Coturnix japonica: one gene and its partner. The protein of the gene in region 1 binds, or shares a complex with, the protein of each later gene. Links are inferred from orthologs where the notes say so. Each region holds a gene or a part of one and is shown on either strand. Other genes may lie near its edges.

Evidence for each region.
Region 2: ERCC3 (region 1) and POLR2D share a complex: the UniProt entries of both Homo sapiens proteins name them as parts of the TBP-based Pol II pre-initiation complex. The link is inferred for Coturnix japonica from reciprocal best matches to the Homo sapiens genes ERCC3 and POLR2D.

The regions. Positions count from the first base shown.
Region 1 is NC_029522.1:23,171,398-23,175,884, reverse strand, and holds the start of ERCC3 (general transcription and DNA repair factor IIH helicase subunit XPB), read left to right. Parts: upstream 1-1,542; 5' UTR 1,543-1,617; coding exon 1,618-1,636; intron 1,637-1,715; coding exon 1,716-1,921; intron 1,922-2,038; coding exon 2,039-2,275; intron 2,276-2,492; coding exon 2,493-2,542; intron 2,543-3,345; coding exon 3,346-3,481; intron 3,482-3,672; coding exon 3,673-3,837; intron 3,838-4,487. UniProt on the Homo sapiens protein: ATP-dependent 3'-5' DNA helicase/translocase. Binds dsDNA rather than ssDNA, unzipping it in a translocase rather than classical helicase activity. Component of the general transcription and DNA repair factor IIH (TFIIH) core complex.
Region 2 is NC_029524.1:1,664,564-1,668,380, reverse strand, and holds POLR2D (DNA-directed RNA polymerase II subunit RPB4), read right to left. Parts: upstream 2,544-3,817; 5' UTR 2,489-2,543; coding exon 2,416-2,488; intron 2,344-2,415; coding exon 2,163-2,343; intron 1,931-2,162; coding exon 1,835-1,930; intron 887-1,834; coding exon 808-886; 3' UTR 701-807; downstream 1-700. UniProt on the Homo sapiens protein: Core component of RNA polymerase II (Pol II), a DNA-dependent RNA polymerase which synthesizes mRNA precursors and many functional non-coding RNAs using the four ribonucleoside triphosphates as substrates.

The DNA of each region.
Region 1 (4,487 bases):
TCTGTAGCCAGGCCTGAGCTTTGGGATGTGTATGGGACACCATAAGGAAGGGGCTGTGACTTGCACTGCTGTGTGCCACAGCATCTCCGAGCTGCTGAGAAGCAGCCTGACATGAGAGCCAGGTGTCACCCACAGCCACGTGGGGGCAGAACTGCCACCAAGCTGGCTTCCAGATCAATACTCTTGGTCAGAAACAAAGGAACTCCTCTCTCTTTTTAGCACTGAGGAGCCGGGCTGTGCGAGGTGCAGCTCTGGGGCTGCACGGGGTCCCCTGTGTGGGTTGAGTCTATCAGTGGGTACGTGTGTGTGCTCTGAAGGTGCAGTGCTGGCAGCCTCGCTTGGGCTAAACCTTTAGGTTTTTGTGAACTTACTTTATGTTAAGGGGAGAGGAACTGGATTAAAACACATGGAAATTGTATCTCATGGTTCAGTCCTTACTCTGAGTCCAGTGACGAGGGCTGCAGGTCAGGGCCCGCTGTGGGAACATACAAGGATACTTCACTCCAAAGTGGAAACACATCAGAGGTTTCCATGTCCCTTCCTTACAGCCCATCCTCTTCCTCAAAGCTTATCTCACATGGGTTTAAAAACGAGGGTTATCTTTATGTTGCTGAGCAGGCGTTAGGCTGTCAGTCCCCAGTGCTGGTTTCCCATCCATCCCAGCTCACAGCCTGGGTTCAGTGCTTGGATGTGGTGGTTCCTTGAAGCCTCGCCTGTCACCTCAGCCCCCCACAGCCACACGATGGAGAATCACTGTAAATACTCGAGGAGCCGTAGAGCAGTCGGAGCGTAGACTTTGTTTCCATGAAGCTCTGGATACCAATTTGTATATTCCTCTTGTACATTTTTACGTAGCCATTAAATCCTCTATTTAATCTATCGGTTTCTCACTGTAAATGTTTTTACTCAGTTGAATGCCGGGCACAGTTTGTAAAACGTATGTAACACCAAGGTGTTTTTTTCTATCAGCGTTGACTTTTTTGCACATTTTTGGAGCTATTTAATTTGTACTGATTTACTACACTGAGCGGTTGGCGATGGGTGTGTGTGAACCGTGTGTGTGTGTGTGTGCAATGTACTACTGCTGGGTGTGTGGGGTTGGGAGGTGTTGCTGTTAATAATGGTGTTGCTGGTGCAATTGGGTGTCAAACCAGGAGCTTAAAGGAGGGATGTGTGTGCCTGGGGTGGGCAGCTGGTCTTATAAGGGTCAGAACCCTGCCCTGTAACTGTGTGTGTGTATGTATCCCTATGTATGTCTGTATCCCTATGTCTGTATCTTGATCTTACTCCACAGTTTCATTTCTACATGTCGACGGCCTTGTTTTCTAAGGGCGCGCAGTTTCGTTCTGGTAATGAACTCTATGAAGCTCTGAGAGATGATTTAGACGATAAATATATTTTCAGCTGGCTGATGTTCAGAATATTTTTTTAAGTTTTTCGTTTTTAAACCATTCGAAGATGTATTTGTATTTCCGAACCGGACACGAGTTGTACGTAGCGATCAATTAAACACGCTGTAGGGACAACACGCTCCGCCTTCTGTCTTTATTACCACTCCCCGCCTTATTCTCTCCCCGCCTTAGTGCGGATGTGACGCCGAGGTTTCCGTCGGCCGCCATGGGCAGGAAGGAGCGGGGTAAGCGGGGCCGGGAGGAGAGGGGTTGGAGGGGGGCGGCGGGCGGAGAGCGGGCGTGTAACGGCGCGGTGTGCTATAGACAAGAAGAAGGGCAAGAAGCGGCACCACGAGGACGACGAGGAGGAGGAGGATGAGGCTCCCGGGAAGGACTCGCAGGAGGCCGTGCCCTCGGCGGCGGGGAAGCAGGTGGAGGACAGCGGCGCTAAGCTGGACGAGTACGGCGCTAAGGACTATCGGCTGCAGATGCCGCTCAAGGCTGACAGCGCCTCGCGGCCGCTCTGGGTGGTACGTGCGGGGCGGGGGCGGAACGCAACACAGTGATACGTCCCCACCTAAACACGGGAGCCCCCAGCACAACCTTGTAGGAGAATCCTCATCTGGCGTCTCGTTGTGTCGCTGTAGGCTCCTGACGGCCATATCTTCCTGGAAGCCTTTTCTCCTGTTTACAAATACGCCCAGGATTTTCTAGTTGCCATTGCTGAGCCCGTGTGCAGACCGACCCACATCCACGAGTACAAGCTGACCGCATACTCCCTGTACGCTGCCGTCAGTGTGGGCCTGCAGACCAGCGACATCACCGAGTACCTGCAGAAACTCAGCAAGACCGGCGTGCCAGAGGGGATCATCCAGTTCATCAAGGTCAGTCTGCATTGATGTAACACCATCTGACGCTCTGCTCTATCTGCATTACTGCTGTTTTATATACATTTTCTTTTGCTCAATGTTTTACCACCTTACTGTATTCTGTTATAAGAGAGCAGAGACTTTTATCTTACGTTTTCCCTTTCTCTGCTGTATGTAGCTCCATAAATGTTGGTGTGTTCTATTCCTAATGACTGCTGCTGTCTTTTTGCAGCTCTGTACGGTCAGCTATGGGAAGGTGAAGCTGGTGCTGAAACGCAACAGGTAAAAGCTGCTTTTGGCATAGTTGGTGTGAATGAAGAGATCTGCCAAGAACCCTTGAGAGTAGCCCTGCTGAGAAGAACGTCAGGGTCCTGGCAGATGAAAAACATAACGTGAGCCAGCAGCGTGTGTTTGCTGCCTGGAAGGACAGTGATATCCAGGGCTGCAAGAGAAAGGGCTGCATGGATCAAGGGTGACCAGCGGGGTGAGGGGGCCGATTGTCCTTGTAAGGCTCCATCTGAAGCATAACATCCAGGTCTGGAGTCCCAACACAGGGATGACATCAAGCTTTTGAAGAGGGTCCAGAGCAGGGCAACAAAGATATCCATCATAGAATTACCTAGGTTGGAAAAGACCTTGAAGATCATCAAGTCCAACTGCAGCCTAACCAGTACCCTAACTCTAAAAACCCTACACTAAATCATATCCCTAAGTACCACATCTAGACGGCTCTTAAACACAACCAGGGATGGCGATTCAAGCACCTCCCTGGGGAGCCTGGAGCACCTCTCTTCCAAAGACAGGCTGAAGGAGCTGGGCTTTTTTAGTCAGGAGGAGAGAAGGCTGCGGGGAGAGCTCATTACAGCCTTCCAGTGTTTAAAAGGAGTTTATAAGCAGAAGATAAATCAACTTTTTGCATGGGTAGATAGTGGAAGGACAAGGGGGAAAGGTTCTAAGTTGAAGGAGGGAAGATTGTTACATTTGAGTGCTTCTGGGCTGTAGATTTAAGCACGTACTGCTTTTTTCTGTAAGTTATTGTATCAATTAGTTCGTAGAGATGTGGAGTTTTTGTCCTTTTCTTGTAGGTATTTTGTGGAAAGTACCCATCCTGATGTCATCCAGCAGCTTCTGCAAGACCACGTTATTAAAGACTGTCGCCTGAGAAATGCCGAAGGTGAAGAAACGGAGCTCATTACAGAGACATTCACAAGTAAATCAGCGGTACGTGCGGCGTGTCTTAAAAGGATGGAATTCATATGAGATAAGCTGCTCGGTAGCTTGGAATCATTATTGTGCGTTAGTTATGTCAGCAGTTGTTTTCATTCCTGTCAGCCCTGTTAATGAACCCCACTTCAATGAGTGTCCTGGGGAGCATCTCTAGCGAATCTTTTGGTCTTTTCTGTCTTTTTCAGATTTCCAAGTCCAGTGAAAGTGGCTTTGGTCCATCCACGTCACAAGAAGCAGATGTTCAAAACAAGCCGGATGTCCCAGCTGATTTATATGAGTTTTATGAGCAGATGGACAAAGATGAGGAGGAGGAGGAAGAAACACAGACAGTGTCTTTTGAAGTCAAGCAGGCATGAACACCTTTGTTTCTTAGCGTGTGTAGCTTTAGGGGATGTGCCCTGGACTCTAATAGGTGTAAGAGATAATATCTAGTGGTTCCTTGTTTAACGTAAGAGGTCACTGGAAGCCAATAATGTTTCTTTCCTTTTGCCTTCCAAAGTCTTGGGATATTCCTTCCCGGTACAGAGTGAGCAGATTGCAGAACGTTCTTTTCTCTGCCCACAGAGTGCAGTCATTCACAAGTTAGAGAGGTTCCAGAAGCTCAGGGAGGTTCTGTTTGTGCTCGGCTTGATGCTGCTTTGTGCAGGGCTGATGAGGATTCAGTGGAGAGTAAATCTGCTGTTAGTTTCAGAGCTTTTCTTCCTCACAATTGATACTTACAGAGGAAGCTCTTGGTGGCTCTGTTTTCCCAGCTTGAGAAGCCGGAGGTCAGAGCACAGTCCTGACTTGGCCCTCAGAGGAATTTTGTAAGGCCTGTCTTGTTGCTGCATGGTGATTCTAATGATGCTTTTCTGGGGAAGACAGAAGTAATGAAAGGAGAACTTTTATCATAACCAAAGAAGTACTTGAGAACTGGAAACAACTTCTGGTGACTGAATCAACCTGTCATTGTGGAGTAACTGCACTGTCAGGGTATGAAGTTCTTCCCTATTACAGGTGT
Region 2 (3,817 bases), on another chromosome or scaffold:
GCGCTTACACAGCCCGCCCAGCTCCCAGGGTAGGTGAGCGCCTGCCGCACGTGGCTGTACCTGCCCGCAAAGCCCCGCACCCACCTCCGAGCAGTGCCAGGCCGGCACCCCGCAGGCCCAAGGAGGAACAGCACGAACTGGGAGCGGGACAGACGCTCTACTCAGGCCCCAGCAGCCGCGCACGGCGCAGCGCTGCCCCACCACAACACGGCGCTCACAGCCCACATCCCTCACCCCGCGGACAAGGCCGGGCCCGAAGCGCCGCGATCCCGCCCCGCTCCAACCTGAGCTCGGCCTGAGCTCGGCCTCCCTCCAGGGCCAAGGCCTAAAAATGGCGGAGCGAACCGCGCTCTCCGAGCCCCACTCCCGCCTCACACCGCACCCAGCCGAGCTCACCGTCCAGCCGGCGTCTCCCACCGCGCCCTCGCGGCCCCGCCGCTCGGCTCGGCTCGGCTCTTCGGCCCCGGAAGCCGCCGACGCCGCCTCACGATCCCCCGCCGCGGCCGGCCGCCATCTTCCTGCCCCCACCAGCGCCAGGGGCGGCGCATGCGCACCACGATAAGACGCTGAGCGGCAGGGAGGCCGCTCCACAGCCTGCGCATGCGCAATCGGAAGCCGCGCAGCCCTCAGAGCGTCCACCTTGTCCCAGTACAATCAGTGTATTGCAGAGATCTTCATAAATATGACAGAACACAGAAGCTTAATTAGAAATATCTTTTAATATCTTAGAAACATCTTTTTTAATTTACGCTAAGGGGAATAATACAAAACAACTGAGCGTATCAGGGCAGCTTTTGGTGCTCAGCTTCAGTACTGGAAGCTGCGTTTGGTCTGAATATCGTCAAGAATCTGCTGTAATTCCTCATCTTCAAACCGGCCCTCGAGGCTGCAAGGTAAGAACAAGGTGGGTACATTAAAGCTCGTAGGAACAGCCTCCCCTGTTCCCCTCTGAATTCATTTCACACCCATGCAGAGCCTCCTGTTTATGTGACAGAACTCCAACCTTCCCACAGCTCAGTGTGGAATGATTTCAAGTCATTGTACCAAAAGGTCAACCCGGGTGCAGGCCTCATGCTCATAAGCCAGTCCAGATTTGCTATGAAGAATGTGAGCAAAATACCTCAAGTTGTACCAATGGAGGTTTCAATTAGAAAGAATTTCTTCACAGAAGGGGTGGTGAGGTGTTGGAACAGGCTGAGCAGGGAAGTGCTGGTTGCCTTTTGTGGAGGTATTCAACAAACGTTTGTACAACTTAGAAGATTCTATGAAATCTTAGCATACAAGGGGAAAGCTGTACTTCAGATGAGTGTCTCATTCCTCCTCTATCTCAGGGTACGAGGTAACAAATGATGAGACGACACTGGAAGATCTCCCTGCCCCATCTGCACATTGTCCACCCAGCGGTTCAGAGGGACACTGCTGTTTGCTCCAACAACAACCAACAAACGCAGCTGGCTGGGCTGACAGCCCCAGTCTAAGCCACTGCCCAGAGATGTGCTGGAATCCCCACTTCTGGAGACATCCAAGGCCAGGCTCTGAGCAACCTGACCCAGCTGTGGGTGTCCCTGTTCACTGCAGGGGAGTTGGAGCAAATGGCCTTTAATGGTTCCTTCCAACTCCACGATTCCATCACTCTTAATCCAGTAAATGTTATCTAAAGTGCGTTAGGGATATTTAGATTGCTTCACTGTCAGATCAATGGGTAAGTGAAGAAAAACTGAGATGGAAGGTTTTCCCATCAGCAGAGCTGGATTATGGAGGAGGCATCTGTCCATGGGCAGCTTTACATCACAGGGCAGTACACCACACTCCTTTTAGGTATATAAATGCTCACCTGGGAATCAAAGCTTTGGCTTCCTCAGCAGTCTCAGGGCATAAATTGGCTAAACACGCCAGTTCAAACTTATGGAGCTTCTTCTGGAGCAGCAAGCTGTGAGGAAAGCCAACAACAAGACAGATAAGCAAAGCAGCATCAAGGCAAGCAGACAGCACACAACTCTGCTTTTTGACACTGCATCCAAGTTTATGAAGGAAGAAACATTACAACAGTGGATAGGTAAAAAGACAGACACAGCTGTGGGAAGCCCAGGAAACGTCAGTAAATCTCAGCTCCATCGAACAAGGCTGATGTTACGTATCACAGCCCAAAGCCTCGCACCCACCTGCGGACGCTGGCGATGGTCTCCCTGTTCTTGAAGCGGCTGAACCGCGCTGTGTAATTCAGGGTTTTCATGAAGACTTCGGACAGCTCCTGCTCATCCTCCGCGCTCTCGTTCTGCTGCTTGCGATGCTCCAGAAGCATATGGACCTCTGAGTTCAGCAGGGTTTCTGCCGTTTCGAATTCTACGTTGGAACAAGCAAACGTCAGTGTTTAAAACACGGATCCAAACAACAGCACGAGGTGTCGCCGCGCACCTTTGGGGAAGACGAGCTGCGAGGCGTCCTCCTCCACATCCGCAGTGCGCGGGTCGCTGCCGCCCGCCGCCATTGCTCACCCGGAACTGGAAGACATGGCGCCCGGAAGCGCAGCGCTGTGAGTGCCCGGCGCCCAGCAGAGGGAGCGGCGCCTCAGGTGGCTCCAGCTGCGCTGCACGGCGCTGTGAGCACCCAGCGCCTCCATCTTGATGCCTCTGAGGGAACGCAGCGAGTGATGGCTCCAGGAAACAACCCACAGCAGCATTACTTCTGGTGCAGTGTGGTAAATACATGGAGGTGTGTGTGGGAGGAGCATGGATGGCAATAGCAGAACACAATAGAAGTAAGGTTCCCTTCTTTGGCCTACTCAGGAATAATCCATAGACAGCTTAAAGCTTCAGGCAGGCTGGAAATGAGTGGGTTCGTCCTGGCACTGCTAGCAAAGTAGTGTTTGTAGTAGTACTTTCCCTTGGGAACACACATGAAAGTGCCCAACCAGCTTAAGACTTACAGTAATCATCTTAGGCTGCACAATGTCACCCCATGCCCTTAAAGAAATGCAGAAATAAATGGCTGGAGGATTCACTGTGAGGCCACTCCTGCTCTCCTAACGCACATCTGTGCCGGCTGCTGTGCTTCCTGCACCCTGCAGGTGGGTGAGCTCCACCAGGAGCTGCAGGATCAGATCTGAGCTCCTTAATGTTTGTTAACTCCAGACGAGCGTGGCAGAGAAGCGAACTAAAAACGAATTAGCTGAGTGGTACAAACAGAAAGACACTCAGGAAGATAGTGTGGAAATAGAACATCTAGTGAATGAGGCTATTTCAATTACGTTTACAAGAAAACAAGGAAATCATAGAATCATAGGCTGGCTTGGGTTGGAATGGACCTCAAGGATCATAAAGCTCCAACCCCTCCCCCCCCCACCACCACAGGCAGGGCCACCAACCTCCATATCTAATACTAGATGAGGCTGTCCAGGGCCACATCCACATGCCAGATTGATGAGAGAAGCCTTTTAAAATCATTTGGAATCCCAACAGCTTCTCACATACCCTTTCACCTCAGAACATCCTGATCTTCAAGCAGTAGGTAGCTTGCAGTCTTGGTTACAAATTTAACATCTGTTGTTCCCCAGTGATCTCTCCTACTTAAGTACATGAAAACTGAAAGGATTCGGGGAAAGCCACATACCTACAAGAGCATAAAGGTACAGCCAAGGAGGCGGTGGTGGTGGCTAACAGCTCCCTGTCACTGCTGTGCTTGGTTTCAGTCTCAGGTTTTAGACATGAGCTTCTGTTGCATAGTCCAGGGCAGAAAGTGTTGGTTGGGACATCAGTGGTTTATTAAATAGATACTCTACAGCAATTCCTTCCTTCCCTCTGAAAACAGACCCACTAGC